Linked DNA regions of Drosophila melanogaster. The protein of the gene in region 2 interacts with the protein of the main gene of each other region in a pairwise test. Each region holds a gene or a part of one and is shown on either strand. Other genes may lie near its edges.

Region 1 (8,318 bases), on a different chromosome or scaffold from region 2:
TGATGCTTAGATAGATTATACATAAAATACGCATATTTATCATTGATAATATTAAGATGCGTACAATTGTTTTCCTTCACGACAAACCAAAGTTAGCTGGTTAATGTTGAAGTGCAAAGAAAGGTAAGCTGAACGTTCGCTTTTGTTTTTTCTTGGCTTCGGTTCGATGGGAAAGGAAGAGACTGGTCCAGGGGTATAGGTATCGGGGTAGGGAAGTGCCTCTTGGCAGATGGCAAAATCGAAGCGACATGCGAAACAATTCAAAGTTTCACGTCGTAAATTTGGCGGGCAACTTCATCGATCACTTTTGGGGGACCGCTCTTGTTGTTGCCGGCACAGGTTGACTTATTTGCTGGAATTGCTGGAGGGCGAGGACCAGGAACCGGGAACAGGGCGGAGGAGATATCGGAAGGTATCTGGGACCTGGTTTTTGAGGTCTTTCATCCAGCTGAACGGCACGCGCGCTGTGCTCCGCCAGTTGTTGCTGAAGGGGAGTGTACCCCTTAAAAGGGTTGTTCAAAGGTAGCTTAGCACTGGGGTATTGTAACTACACAGAAAATGTTTTTATTTATAATTGATATTAGCGAGTATTGAGAAGAATTTATTTATATAGAAAGAAATATAAATGTTCCTTATTCCATTATTTTGATAATAATCAAAAACGGAATTTTTTAAAAGAATACACAGTTGCCTGGGTCATATGAAGAAAAAAATATAGGGTAACTGAAAATTAATTTGCTTTCTCAGAGTATTTCTAAATTTCTTTTTTAAATGAACTTATAATGGTTGTAAAATGAAATAATAAAGATGGTCTTTGTAGGTACATGGTATATCCTATTCGATAGGTTCTTGGCTCAGTTTGCTGGAGCGGAAACGCAGGCTTGGGGGCGAGTTGTCTGTGGCGGCGGCATGTGAAAATATTTCCCAAGGTGAACGCCACACACAAACACGACGCCGACCCACGGGGACGGAAAAAGGACCCAAATGCAAGGAGGCACTCGATTCCAGCTGAGACCGGGTCTGGTTTTGGGCCTGATCCTGGACCCGAATTGAATGATTTAGAGTCGCACAGTTGTCAAAGAGCAGCGATGCGTACGGACAGCATCCATGGGACCTTTCTTTCTGTGGGGAGGGCAGGAGCTAAAGCGGGACTGTTGCCCATCCCAATTGGAATGGGTGGTGTCCGGAGTGGGGCGCCAAGTATGCTTTTAAAACCGATTCATCCGTTTTCATGATATTTATTGCCGCTACATAATTGAGTGTAAAATTTTTTGGGGTTCGGCTTAACTTTGATATATCAAAGGTACGTTCACAAAGTAATTTTATTTATGTAAATACGTATAAATATTGAATACATAATTTAAAAGTGTATATAGACAGGTTTTATTGTCAAATATTTTAATGTTTTTGGAGGTTTGTGAGAAAATTAATAAAAATTATTTCTTAAATGTTCATGAATCCGCATACTAAATCTTAACTTTATAGATTTTTTAGTTACCGAAATCACGATGTTCATACGGACAGATATGGACAGTTGAATAGACAGAGGGACATGGTCAGCTCGGCTCAGAAAGTGATCGTCAATTTGTTATGGTCGGAAACGCTTCCCTATACCTGGTTCATACGTTTCAACGAATCTAGTCTACCCTTTTACTCTACGAGTAATGGTAACTATTATACAAAAATACATTATGTTAATTTCACATTATTAAATAATTATGCAATATGAGATTTTCATGAAGCCTTCTTTAACAAGTTTAAGTCTGAATGCTTTTCTGATGTGATTATTATTAAATAGCGTTATGAAAACAGCTTAATTTGCTTTGATAAACTCATATAATTGGAACCCCATTAAAATTCAATTAGGTGATGACTACATTTTAAATTTTTTGTTTCAGTAAAAATATATTTGAATATACCAAAGAACGCCATAAAACACCCATAATGGAGACTCCAAGCAAGTACGACATTTCAAAAATTGCATTAACATCCGGTAGAATTTTTGCCGCTGGCGAACTTGCAGTTCCAACTGGAATTTTCAGCACCACTGTTCCACCAAGAGAATTCTCCGCACTCAGAAAGGCAAAAATTCTCAACTGGAGCTCACTGGCAGCGCCGTCAGCAGAGCAGCCGACGACTGCGTAAATTTATGTGAGAAATGGCAATTGAAAAAAGAGCAGTGCGGCGCGCTCACGACACACATAAAGCAAAATAATGGCACATTCGTCACACTTAACGCGGCCGCATCTGGCCGTCTCGCTCGCACCCGCGTCTGCCCCTCTCGCTCGCACTCTCGCTCTCTGCCTGCGCCGCCATCCATCTTGTGCGTTTGTGTGCCGCGCTTGTGTGTGTGCGGTCTCTGAGAATGCTTTATGAGTGTGCGTCTGTGGCGGACTCCTCCCTGTTTACGACGCTGGCAGCGCCGCAAGCAGAAGCAGCGGCTGCAAAAATTCGGCCAACTTGTGTTGTTGTTCTTTTTCCGCTCCACAACAGCTGTGGGAGAGCGAGAGCGTAGGAGAAAGAGAGAGAGTGAGAGCGATGCTGAATTGTGATTGTGTGCGTGTGAGTGATGGCCTGCATGTGTGCGTGCATGTGATTTGTTGTTGGCGCGCTTCGATATAAACTCGGCCATGATGGTTTTGCCGTCGGCAAGTGGATGTTTGGATGCCATACTCCCCGGTTCCAAGTACCGTATTCCGGGTTCCATAATTCACGGCGGCCATCATTCTCCCGATTATCGAATGTTAGCCGATAATGAGATATCAAAACGTCTAGATATGACTTCATCGGGCAAATCACATTTGCTATACAAAACTGTTAATTATGTATGGTTGTGGTATATTTACAAAAATAATTATTAAAAGATACGTTTATACGTTTATATACCATATCTATAAGCGTTAATTAAGAACATCTAAAAAAGATAAAAAATCGAGACAATCGAAATCAAAAACGTTTTTTACTCTTATAAGTACTTAAGCAGCATAACAATTTACAATTATTTTACATAATAGGCAAACAGAAACTTTCGACCTTTCCATTGCAAAACCCTATTTTAGATTATTTTCACTGGTAAAATAAATAAATAAATGAGTTTGTAAATTAATGATTCAGTCTGAAGTAATCGACGGATTGATACTTTAAAAACTAAAAAGTCAACACAAGGCCTTTAGAGAACCGTATTTGTAAATTGTACAATTATTTTAATTGATTTTATAGAAGGTGGTCTCCCACAAAATGGTAGATTTGACCGCAAAAATTTAAAAACAAGTAAACTGAAGATGTACACATCTTTCACATCGTTACGCTATTTTAAGAAATTAAAAGCAAATGAATTGATTGACCATATAGTCCAGAAGAATGGTTAAAAAGGTATAAAGATATTAAGTTATAAAGATATAGTAATCGCTCTTCGAAATAAAAGTAGAAACTACTCGATAATGCCCAGACAATCGAATTTTAAATAGTTTCGATTTTAGAGAAACTGAAAAGAGCACTTAAGAGAAAGAAACTTAAAATTGAACCTTGCAAAAAATTGTATTTAATAAACCAAAATGAATGAAACAAATTTCTTAAAAACCTAATAAAAAAGTGAAATCAAATATACCAACCAAAATAAATCTGGGAACTGAATAATCGAAAATAACTGGATGTGCATCATAAGATCTTCTTTTGAAGACTGACTACAGTTTGCAGCTCAGCGAGCTCGGGCCGGCAACTCAAGCCGGTCAACTCAAGTCAGGCGCCAATTCGCTGCTCCCACTCGCTCAGCTCTCTCAGTCACTCAAAATGGCAACGAGAGCAGAACGGTTCTTTTGCAAAATACTTTATGACCGGAGCAGAAGCAGAATCGGACCTCTGTCGCGGTCGCAGTCGCTGCCAGTGCTGACGGCGCTGTTGCGGCCGACGCTGACGCACATAAATAAAACGCTCTCTTTCGCTCACGAGTTTCTTATAAGACTTTATTTATATACTGCGCTGCCACCGCTGACTGCGCGCCGCCGCCGCCGACTGCGCTGGATTAATAAGGAGTTCTCGCTGGGATTTTCACATGTATATGCTTTGAATTGAATGCTTTATGGGTTTAGTTTGATAGGAGTCGTAAAGAAATCAACATCACACAACAAAGCACTCGAGGACCCGTCCGTGTTCCGTTGACTTAGCCCACGTGCGACTGTATGTGTGTGTGTGCGAGAGGGATCCCAGCAGCATAACGGTATTCGGTGCCCCGTATTCCGTAGTCGCTATAGCGGCCAATATCTTGGGGCTGGGCTCTCGGAGCTGAACTGAACTGAACTAAACTGAACTGAACTATTCGCATTCGTATTCGCTCGCTCTCCGTCGTCGCGACCGCTCTCTTATCCCAATTGTCAGCCCGCTAAGATCATAAAGGCCGTAAAAATAATCATAACAATAATCGTAAAAAATTAGAACCGCAATCAGTCGCACACTGTCCATCGCATGGCGCAGATCGTCATAAACCCATTATTATAATAATAACCGTAATCGTAACCGTAATCGTAATTGTAATCGCAGGCGCCATCGCATAAACAGCAAACAAAAACACCGTCAGAGAAATTGGAATTGAACTTCGCGCGCGTTTCTTTTTATGATGTTCGAGTGTCTGGCAGGTGTCTGGATTCAAATTAAAATTCATCCACATATTGTGCAATACTACTAATGGATCTGGGCTGACTGTGCTGCAAATGAGCTAGAGTTCAAATTTATCAAGCCAAATCCTACTACCTAAGTGTTTATCTATTCTTAAAAACGCATCGTGCACCGAAAACTCGAATCTGTACAACAACGTTTTCTAGTCCCCCGTAAATCGAGCAATATCTACACACTAGCAACAAACAAAAGCTGAAGCTTTCAACTCAAACCACAACAAATTCAACAGAAATAAAACGTAGACAGCCAAAATAACACAAAAAAAAAATAAATAATAAAAAACAAAATACATAAAACGGAAAAGAATAAGGAGCGGAAAAAGTTTCGATTCCACTGCGGGCAAACTTTTTATTTTGGCGCACGTGCAAGCTACCGTTAGCTGAGAATTCCAAAAGCCAGCAGGATTGAAGGATAAGCGCACGTTATTGGATTTAAGAGGTAAGTGCCAGGGCTCGACTTTTCAATTTCCTCACCTTCTTCACTGAAATCAAAATGGTTATATGTTTCTTTTATTGGCCAATTGGGATTAAAATGTCTTTATTCACAAAAATGGTTAATGCGTTTTGAAAACAATGCTTAAATTGATTATAATTATATTTTACTACAAATTTTATGTTATTTCTGCCTATCCAAACTATTTCAAATATTCAATTTAATAATAATCGTAACTGAAAGTGAAGAAAAAATCTTAACTTTAAATTGTAGTAAAAAATCAATATTGTTAAATAATTGCAAAGGTAATTGTACATGTAATGTAATGTCATCTATGCATACCGTCAAAGAATTATTCGATTGTCACTAAAAATTATATATAATTTTTAAACAAAAATGATTGTGAGGTTCTCTTAACATTATTTTTGAAAAAATGGTTGACATAAGTATATTATGTTACTATTAGCTGTCCATTAAATGTTTGAATAAAATCAATCATTTCAATGAAGCTTACATGGATTAGAATATCAGTCTATGTATATGCCGACGGAAACTTTATACATTTCCAAATACTTGTCTAAATATGTGGAAGTTTTGACATTAATGACTCTGTACAAAGAATAGCGCATCTGTTTCTCGATGTGCAGTGGGCAAGGTATAAGTTTTTTGCCCGAACTCAGATTCAACACTTCATAACTCAAAGGGCGTTTTTCGGAAGCTACAGCCAGGTCATCACTCATTTGGCCTGCAAACTGCAAACTGTTGACAGGCTTATTAGCCATTTGCATAAATTTGCAAAGTGGGAGGAGGGGTGGTGGGATGCTTTCAGGAATCCCGGGAGTTGAAGCTGGAAAACTGAAAACGGAGCTCCGAACTTAACTGGCCACGAGTAATGGGCTCTTTGAACTTGGAATTCGTTTTTGAATTATTGCGCATATCCTGGGCAACATAGTTTCACTTCCGAATGGTGGGAAAGGGCAGCCATTTCTCTCTCAGACACACACGCAAACACATTCATACACACACACACACACACGCACATAGTTGGACGAACAGGACACTCTCGGGTTCTCCGCATAGAAAATTTATGCGGCCATTGTTGCAGTGCATTGTCCTTGTTGTTGCTGATTTTGTTGTTGTCCTAGTTGTCTGGCCTTTGCATATTTGTCGTCCTCTCTGTCTGTCGCTCGCTACCTTTTACCTTTCTCTCTTTCTCCATTCCCGCTCTCTCATTGCACTTGCGCCCCACAGAGGTGCGGAATTTATTCGTAATTTAATAAACATTTAAAAATCTGTTCCATAATTTGGAAAGTATCTCTAGCGATCTGTCCAAAAGGGCTTTAATGAACTTATCCTGGCTTTTACTTTCAGCCTGCTTATCGTTAACACATTTCCATTTGCATTTTTGCCAGCTTCGATTTTTGCAAAATCAAATAGATGGCATCAAATGAAATTATTTTCTCATAATTTATTGATTTTATCAGCTGGAAATGTTACACAGCTGACAAAATCATAAACTCCGTTCTGTTTGCCCGGCAAAAACTTTTATGATTTATGGCCGAGTGACAGACAGAAAAAACACCGATGCAATTGGGAGAAATGGGGGGAAAATATTCAAAATTTGTATGAAAACGCACATTTCCCTAGACTATTTTTGTTTAAGTCCTACAATTCTTTACTAACATATTTAGACCCTTATACATGAGCAACCACTTCCTTTTAAACGGATTCTTAATCAAGTTCACACTCATGGCAAAGCAGCAAAAAGATTTATACATCAGCACACCAATGGCGACAACTCTTTTGTAAAAACATTAATCACGACCTCTGAGATTCGGCCGAAAGCCCAAAACTTAGCAACAAAAGTAAACGAAATTGTTGTTAATAAAACGAATCCAACAAAAAGCTTCAACGAAAACAGCCGACCACCACAAAGAAAACTTGTTTGACTTGCCTTTGAAATTAAAATTATATTTAAGCCCCCATTGATAGATGGCGACATGAGTCGGTTAATTAATCATATGCAAGCTCAGTAAATTTAAATAAAACAAAAACCGCTCAAATAAAAACCTAAATTTCACACAATAAAGTCTCTAGACAAACAAAGGACCAGAAACGGCAAAAACAGCGTTTTTTTTTTCATTTTCAAATCACCAAAAATATTATCGACTTCATCGGGTCCACAACATTTTAAGGCCCTCGGGAACTGAACTTTGATAAGCCGCCGGAAATGATGAACCTTGTGTAATTTGTTTATCGTTTTACCAATGGGACTACAAACTTGGCATTAATTGCTTTCTCTGAAAAGTATTTATCAAGACTGTGCTTACGTTATTACTTAAATTTTACTTTTATTTAACAATCCATTATTGATATAGATTACAAAAGTTTCTTGCGACACATTTACATATACAATTTACACATCCAATTTACTTCCATACTTCCATAAAATACAAATAATAACATTATAAAAAAGAGAAGCAGTCAACTGTTTTAAATTAAATAAATTATTTAAAATATATTTATATTTTCGGAATTTAAATACACTGGCTTCCATTACAACTGTGAAAAAAAGTTATTCTTGAAAAAGAGAAATAGATGTAACTGCTGAAAATCGGACAAAATCGGCGGTCAAAGCCAACTAAAACTCAATCCAATTTTGTTGGGCGGCAATTTGCAGTGACTGCAATTAGTTTTGGCCACGGAAAAAAGGGAACAAATGGGAGAAAGTCTTACTATTTTATTTTTTAGCCCAAATGCAGTCAGCGGCTCGAACTGTTTTATATATACTTGTTTTTATAGGTTCGTGGTAGGAAAACAGGGACGAAAATCGGGGTGAGGTGCAGGGAACCGCGGAGGGTGCAGGGTCGGGGGCCAGAAACCCAGCGGGAAGCGCTCGCAGTGACATTGCGCCGAAGCGGGTGACAATGATTTATGGCCAAGAGATACGCGACAAGGAACGCAAAAACTCAAAACTCGAAAACTAAAAAACACCAATCGCACACCAAAAACGCAAAACGCTCTCCGAAAGCGGCAGGAAGCGGAATGAAAACTCACGAAACTATGGGAAATTCCCGAAAAGCAAACTACCTAAACTCACAACACCGCAACACCAGAAATTCGCAAAAGAATCTTATTTTTTAATGCCAAAAGTGTCCTTGAAAACGCAACAACAACAACTAGGAGTCACATCTCAGAAACCGAGAGTGATAACC
Region 2 (7,149 bases):
ATATTGATTTGGAATATGCAACTGAAGTGTTGGCGCACTTACAAACGGTTTTTAAATAAGAATATAGTACAGGTAGTAGGTGGTATAATGTTTCAGGTAGAAAATCACTCACCAGCTGCCACTAAGGGCTTTATCTATTTTTATAACTATTACCTAAATGCCCGCAATGGCCCTTTTTGCTGACTTATTATTGGAAATTAATACTTTAATCCATGCAACGCAGTTGGGATCTTTAACATTCCGAGCTGTTAGAAATTACTTTATGAAATATGGATTTTTAAATGTATTTTATGCGGTTATAGTGTAAGAACCAGTTCAATCAAAGGAACCACAGCGTACACAGCCATCGAAACAGTTTAGACGTATATCGATCAGTTCACATCTCTATCTTGTCTGTATACGGCTGTGTGTCAAAGCGGCAAAAGCGAGAAAAGTCGAAGTGCAAATAATTTTAACGGAGCGGAAAAAATATAGATAAATCAGAACCATGTCGGACTATAGATCGCAATCGCGCAGTGGCGGGGGACGTGGCGGTCAGGAGTACTCGAACGACGACGATCCGCCGATGTCGCGTCTCTTCATCATTTGCAACAAGGCGCACACCGAGGAGGATTTCCGTGAAGCCTTCTCGCCATACGGCGAAATCGAGGATATCTGGGTGGTGAAGGACAAGCACACCCAGGAGAACAAGGGAATCGCGTACGTCAAGTTCTCCAAGACATCCGATGCTGCCAAGGCACAGGAGGAGATGAACGGCAAGACCATTGGCAAGATGGATCGCACCCTTAAAGTCCTGGTGGCAGCCAAGTAAGATTAGCTTCGAGAGTACTGGCCCAAAACCATGGTCTAACTCTTATCCTCCTCTTCCAGTCGCAATCAGGGCTCAAATAAGTCTGAGAACGAGCAGGAGAAGTACGTGAGACTCTTCATAGTGATCCCCAAAACAGCCACCGAGGAGGATATTCGCGAGGAATTCTCGCAGTGGGGCGATGTGGAATCTGTCACAATTGTCAAGGAGAAGAACAATGGCAATCCCAAGGGCTTCGGATATGTCCGCTTTACCAAGTGCGTGGCGAATGTAGCATTGCTAATTGTCCTAGCCATAACTAATCTAATCTCAATGCACAGGTTTTACTATGCAGCTGTGGCTTTCGAAAACTGCTCCGCCAAGTATAAAGCTGTCTTTGCCGAGCCAAAGGGTTCTACACGCACACAGCGTGACCAGTACGGCCGTCCCTCCGAGGACAATCCCTTGTATAGCAGCTCGGGACGTGGCAATTCCAATTTCAATGGAGGCGGTAGCAGCAGCGGTGGCGGCGGCAGCAACAGCTACAACAACGACTGGAATGTATCGCAGAACAACGACATGGCGGCCTTCCTGCGCATGCAGAATGTGCCAGTGGCCCAGCCATCCTGTCTGGAGGTTAACGTGAGCAACTGCGTCAACCAGGATCAGCTCTGGCGTCTCTTCGACATAATTCCCGGCTTGGATTACTGCCAAATCATGCGCGAACGTAAGTGACCAACCCAGTGTGGGTTTCAAACCCCTTTTGAACTACTTATATCTCCGTTGTAGATGGACCGCGCACCAATGAGGCCTTAGTGGTGTACGACAACCCAGAAGCCGCCATTTATGCCAAGTAAACAAAGCCCTAAAACTCATTTTCATGCAGGCTTTAAAACACTATTCTTCTTTAGGGACAAACTTCATGGCCTGGAGTACCCAATGGGCGAACGCATCATTGTCAAAGTCAATGGAATGAGCTCAGCTCGCATGGACACATCCTTCATAGACAGTACGCGAGTTAAACCTATCAAGGGCTACAGGCCGCGCCATCACCTGTAGCCATTTATTAAACGCTTTTGCTTGGTTTATTTCTTAGCACATTTTTGGCTTAAAATGCATGATATTTCCTATTTCTAGACTTAATGTGGTTTTTTATTTTAGAGCGAACCAAAAAGGATGCCATCTGCAATGTTCCCTTGCCCCCAACTCAGCCACTGGCATCGCCGGACGACCAGGTGGCCCAACGACTGTTCATTGTGCTCTCAGCGGTAGGTATCACTGTACCGTGTCCAATTACCATTAGCTATAAACGTTGTTTCTTTCCCATCTACTCAGAACTTGCCGCATTCGATATTGAAGAACATATTCTCTTGCTGGTCGGGACTGATCGACGTCTACCTTCTGCCCAACAAGAACTGTGGCTACGTCAAGTATGCGGAGGTTGAGAGTGCTCAATTGGCCATTCGTACCCTAAACGGAGCCGAAATTTGCGGCACCAAAATCAAGGTTTGTACCGTGTACTCATGTTCTGTTGCTGACAAGCAAGCAATTCTAATCAATTTTAAATTTTTATCTTACTTTAGGTCATGGAGGCTGAGGAGCGAAGTGGCTCCGACGGCGATGATGGCGGTCGCAAGCGATTGAGACGGAACTGAGTGTAAGTAGCTAGTTGAGTATGCATAAATTCCGTATCTATTAATGTAGCCATAATTGAACTGAGTGTGTGCCGTGGTACGAGGTAAGTAGCTGTGCAAATTCCAAACCGAAAACCTTTTAGCGATTTAAGACAATGTGCGCCTGCTGCACTTGCCCTGTGCACCGGTTGGCCATCGATGTCCACGATACCCATGCCGCCCACTGAGCGCGAACATAATAAGCCAAACCATTTTTATCTTTCTATCTCCACAGACCCACTGACAACCAAGAACTTACAGAGAACGCAATGTACGAAAACGTAACTAACTTGAGCATACAGTCCGATAAAAACAGTTGAACTGACCACCAACCACCAAACAACGCAACAACCAACCAATAACCAAACAAGAACCACCACCACAACAACACTCTCCGTACGGAATGCCACATGAACCAGAACCACGGGGACTGGAGAACGCAGACTGGAAACGGAAACTGCGAACGAAGACCATACCCGGGTGAACAAACCAAACAGGCCAACGAAATCACCACACCCGTTGACTACTCTCTACCAATTGACTAACTCAAGTGGGTCTCGTACAGAGCACTCGTAGAAAGACCCATAACCCATACGACCTTTAAACGGAGCCAACGAAACCGCAATGCTCTTGCTATATACACAATATATGCATAGTGTCGTATATATGTGTACTCATACCGCTTAGGGGACTTTTGAATCTACCCGTGATACAGAAACGAACTCTCTGTGTAACTTGAACTCTTACAAACTTATTCCGACGAGATTCAGCCAAGCAATAAATTCAAACGCAATGAATTTCTTAAGAGTATCAACTCTGTCTCGTAAATTCACGCTAAGCCACAGCGTGAAAAATTATTCTTTTCATATATTAGATTTAAATAAACGATATTCTACTGTATAAGGCCAACAATAAATACACTTAAATGGAATAATGTTTTTTTTTTCTTTGGAAGCGAAATGGGAAACAAATTAATTCTCGCTATGCAGATTTTCCATATATATATAATAAATTTTTTTTTAAAAGCGAATGGACTTTTTGAAAGGTCGTTAAATGAACCAGTTCCGAAATGTACAACTTCAGTGTCGCAGCCCTGGTAAGTTCCGGTTCCACGGACAGCTGAGCAGGCATTGTTTAGATTTTGTAAATTGTTGATTTCTCGCAGCAGAAAGTTTTTTTTCGTAGAGCTAAATAATAAAAAAAAACATTCGAAATGGATCCAGCACTGCTTCGCGAACGCGAGGCCTTCAAAAAGCGGGCGATGGCCACGCCCACGTGAGTACCGCACTTGTGGCCCCTCTGATAAAGATTGCTTCTCGAAAATTACATGCTATCCTTTTAAAATAGCGTGGAAAAGAAGTCCAAGCCCGATAGACCAGCTCCACCGCCGCCTAGCGATGATTCCAGGCGCAAAATGCGCCCGCCCAATGCTCCCAGGCTGGATGCCACAACGTAAGTTCCTTGAGAGCCTCTGCTACTGCCAGAAATGGTTCTTAACCATGTGGAACTCTTGCATTCCATACTTAGATACAAGACCATGTCCGGCAGTTCCCAGTACCGCTTTGGAGTGCTGGCCAAGATTGTGAAATTCATGCGCACACGTCACCAGGACGGCGACGACCATCCCCTGACCATCGATGAGATTCTGGACGAGACCAACCAGCTGGACATTGGGCAATCCGTTAAGAATGTTAGCTACAGTGCGTGATAAGTTGTGGCAGGTTATTAAACCATTATTCCTCTATTTTAGTGGCTTGCTAGCGAGGCTCTGCACAACAATCCCAAGGTGGAAGCCAGTCCATGTGGCACCAAGTTCAGTTTCAAGCCAGTCTACAAGATCAAGGATGGCAAAACGCTGATGCGTCTGCTCAAGCAACATGATTTAAAGGGCCTGGGCGGCATTTTGCTGGACGATGTCCAGGAATCTCTACCACACTGCGAAAAGGTGCTGAAGAACCGATCAGCCGAAATACTTTTTGTTGTTAGACCCATTGACAAAAAGAAGATTTTATTTTACAATGACAGGACTGCTAATTTTTCGGTGGGTTATAAACACACTCTTCTAAAATCCCAGCCTAATCAATTGTACCGTCTCAGGTGGACGACGAGTTCCAGAAGCTATGGCGCTCGGCTACGGTCGATGCAATGGACGACGCCAAGATTGACGAGTACCTCGAGAAGCAGGGCATTCGCTCCATGCAGGACCATGGCCTCAAGAAAGCAATTCCCAAGCGCAAGAAGGCGGCCAACAAGAAGCGGCAGTTCAAGAAGCCCAGAGACAACGAACATTTGGCCGACGTTCTGGAGGTCTACGAGGATAACACACTAACGCTGAAGGGTGTGAACCCAACGTAGAATAGAGACATTAGATTATACAAATAAAAACCACTCTCAATGGAATTAAGTACACTCGAAACTGGATGTTATAAATTTGTTTAACCACTGCCAATCTAATTAAGAATCCGCTGTGGCCGAAATCTCATTCCTCAAGATTTATAGTACCAGATTGCTGTTCTGCCTGTGGCATTGAACTTAAAAATATGACGACCGGCACAGGGAAAGATAATTAAAAAGCAAAACTATGTAATCTTTTCCTGACATTCCCCATTGCTTTCCACACCTGATGGCTGGTGGTGTGCGTGTACGAGGGCCAGAATCGATGCTGGTGGGCAGTTAAATTGGCAACAGAGGGAAGCCGTAGCTTTAGTCTGCACTGAACAGCAGCCAAGTTCAGTTGGAATCGATTTGGAATAACCTATATTTTGGTACGGCGGTTGTGCGGGCTTATCAGGAAAATTATCTATATATTGGACTCTACAAATCTAAAAAAAGATTGTGTTGCTATTTGTAATCTATTAAGATTATAACAAGAGATCCGATATTCAGTATAGACAAAAATATAGCTCATACGACTCGTAAATCAGTCATATTGCAAACTATCGTTCGTCCTCTAACTTGTTCAATTTAAAAGATAGGGTATTCATAAGTGGACTTGCATGAAATCCGATTCTTTGTTTACTTGGCTTGACTCTTTGGCACGGACAATGAGCTCTCTACTCGGCGGCAAAAACTTGTTTTGAAATACTCAATTTGTTTAATTATCATTCCCGAAGCATTCGCCAGTTGGTTTTGAGAGTTTCTGTGCTGAGGTTGACGAAATGAAGTCGACGCGGACTGCACTTGGAGTGGCCCTGCTCCTGGCCCTGGTGTCTCAACTGGCGGCCCACAGCTCGGAGTGAGTAAATCAAACCTCGTATGCTATATAGATTAGGTCACTGACTTTCTCTTTGACTTGATTCCCGCATCCAGTGACTTGGTTTACGGCTACGAGTGCCGCAGTGGCTACTGCCAGAAGGTAGAGCTCAGCGAGGAGAACTACGTCAAGGCCATCAGTCTGCCCGTGTGCCGGCTCTTCTGCGGCAGCTCCATCGGCACCTTGTGGCCCAAACCGACGGGCACTGTGCGTCTGGACACGTTGATGCGCCAAGTGGACATCTCCTTCATTGATTTCAATTTCAATGGAATTGCCCGCCAGCAGAAGCTATGGCGAGCGGTTGAAGACCGTTTCATGAACATGCTCGAAGCCCAGATTCCGGATCGCAAGGTTCTGGCACGAGGTGGCTACCGTATGTCTGTGAACATCAATACTCCGGATGAGCCGACACCGGCCAGACTCACCCTGGATACGGATGAGAGCTATACGCTGGACATTGATACGGATGCCTCGGGTCATGTGCTGGCCAACATAACCGCGTCCAACTTCTTTGGAGCCCGTCATGGCCTGGAGACACTAGCCCAGTTGATTGTCTACGATGACATCCGCCGCGAGGTTCAGGTGACTGCCAATGCCACCATCAACGATGCTCCCGTGTACAAATGGCGTGGATTGCTCCTGGACACCTCCCGTAACTACTACTCTGTGAAGTCCATCAAGAGGACGTTGGGTAAGGCAATGGTTCAGGAAAGAGGCAGGGGAGGGTTATGTTTTCCGTTGACTCTATGAGTATCCTTTTTTCCTCCTTAGAGGGCATGGCCTTGGTCAAACTGAACACCTTCCACTGGCACATCACGGACTCGCACAGCTTCCCATTGGAGGTGAAGAAGCGTCCGGAGCTGCACAAGCTGGGAGCCTATTCCCAACGGCAGGTGTACACCCGTCGGGACGTGGCCGAGGTTGTGGAGTACGGCCGCGTGCGAGGCATCCGTGTTATGCCAGAGTTCGATGCCCCTGCCCATGTGGGTGAGGGCTGGCAGCACAAGAACATGACCGCCTGCTTCAATGCCCAGCCATGGAAGTCGTTCTGCGTTGAGCCACCGTGTGGCCAACTCGATCCCACTGTGAACGAAATGTACGATGTGCTGGAGGACATTTACGGCACCATGTTCGATCAGTTCAACCCGGATATCTTCCACATGGGCGGCGATGAAGTGTCAACCAGCTGCTGGAACAGCAGCCAGCCCATCCAGCAGTGGATGAAGAAACAGGGTTGGGGCCTGGAGACCGCCGACTTTATGCGCTTGTGGGGACACTTCCAGACGGAGGCTCTTGGTCGCGTGGACAAGGTGGCCAATGGTACGCACACGCCCATCATTCTGTGGACTAGTGGACTCACTGAGGAGCCCTTCATTGACGAGTATCTGAACCCAGAGCGTTACATCATTCAGATCTGGACCACTGGTGTAGATCCG

The links. The genes of interacting proteins can lie anywhere in the genome.
Region 1: the proteins of TfIIEbeta (region 2) and Antp interact in a protein complementation assay, tested with the Drosophila melanogaster proteins (one study listed by BioGRID).

The regions. Positions count from the first base shown.
Region 1 is NT_033777.3:6,994,997-7,003,314, reverse strand, and holds the start of Antp (antennapedia), read left to right. Parts: upstream 1-4,086; 5' UTR 4,087-5,109; intron 5,110-8,318. UniProt on the Drosophila melanogaster protein: Sequence-specific transcription factor which is part of a developmental regulatory system that regulates segmental identity in the mesothorax. Provides cells with specific positional identities on the anterior-posterior axis.
Region 2 is NT_037436.4:4,283,477-4,290,625, forward strand, and holds TfIIEbeta (transcription factor IIEbeta), read left to right. Parts: upstream 1-3,561; 5' UTR 3,562-3,673; coding exon 3,674-3,735; exon of another isoform or gene 3,736-3,807; coding exon 3,808-3,912; intron 3,913-3,987; coding exon 3,988-4,150; intron 4,151-4,210; coding exon 4,211-4,501; intron 4,502-4,557; coding exon 4,558-4,815; 3' UTR 4,816-4,873; downstream 4,874-7,149. Other genes in the region: srw (shrew), read right to left, coding at 1-2; CG1316 (uncharacterized protein), read left to right, coding at 488-807, 871-1,065, 1,129-1,514, 1,577-1,640, 1,699-1,796, 1,949-2,055, 2,123-2,293, 2,371-2,442; Hexo1 (hexosaminidase 1), read left to right, coding at 5,619-5,695, 5,770-6,404, 6,485-7,149.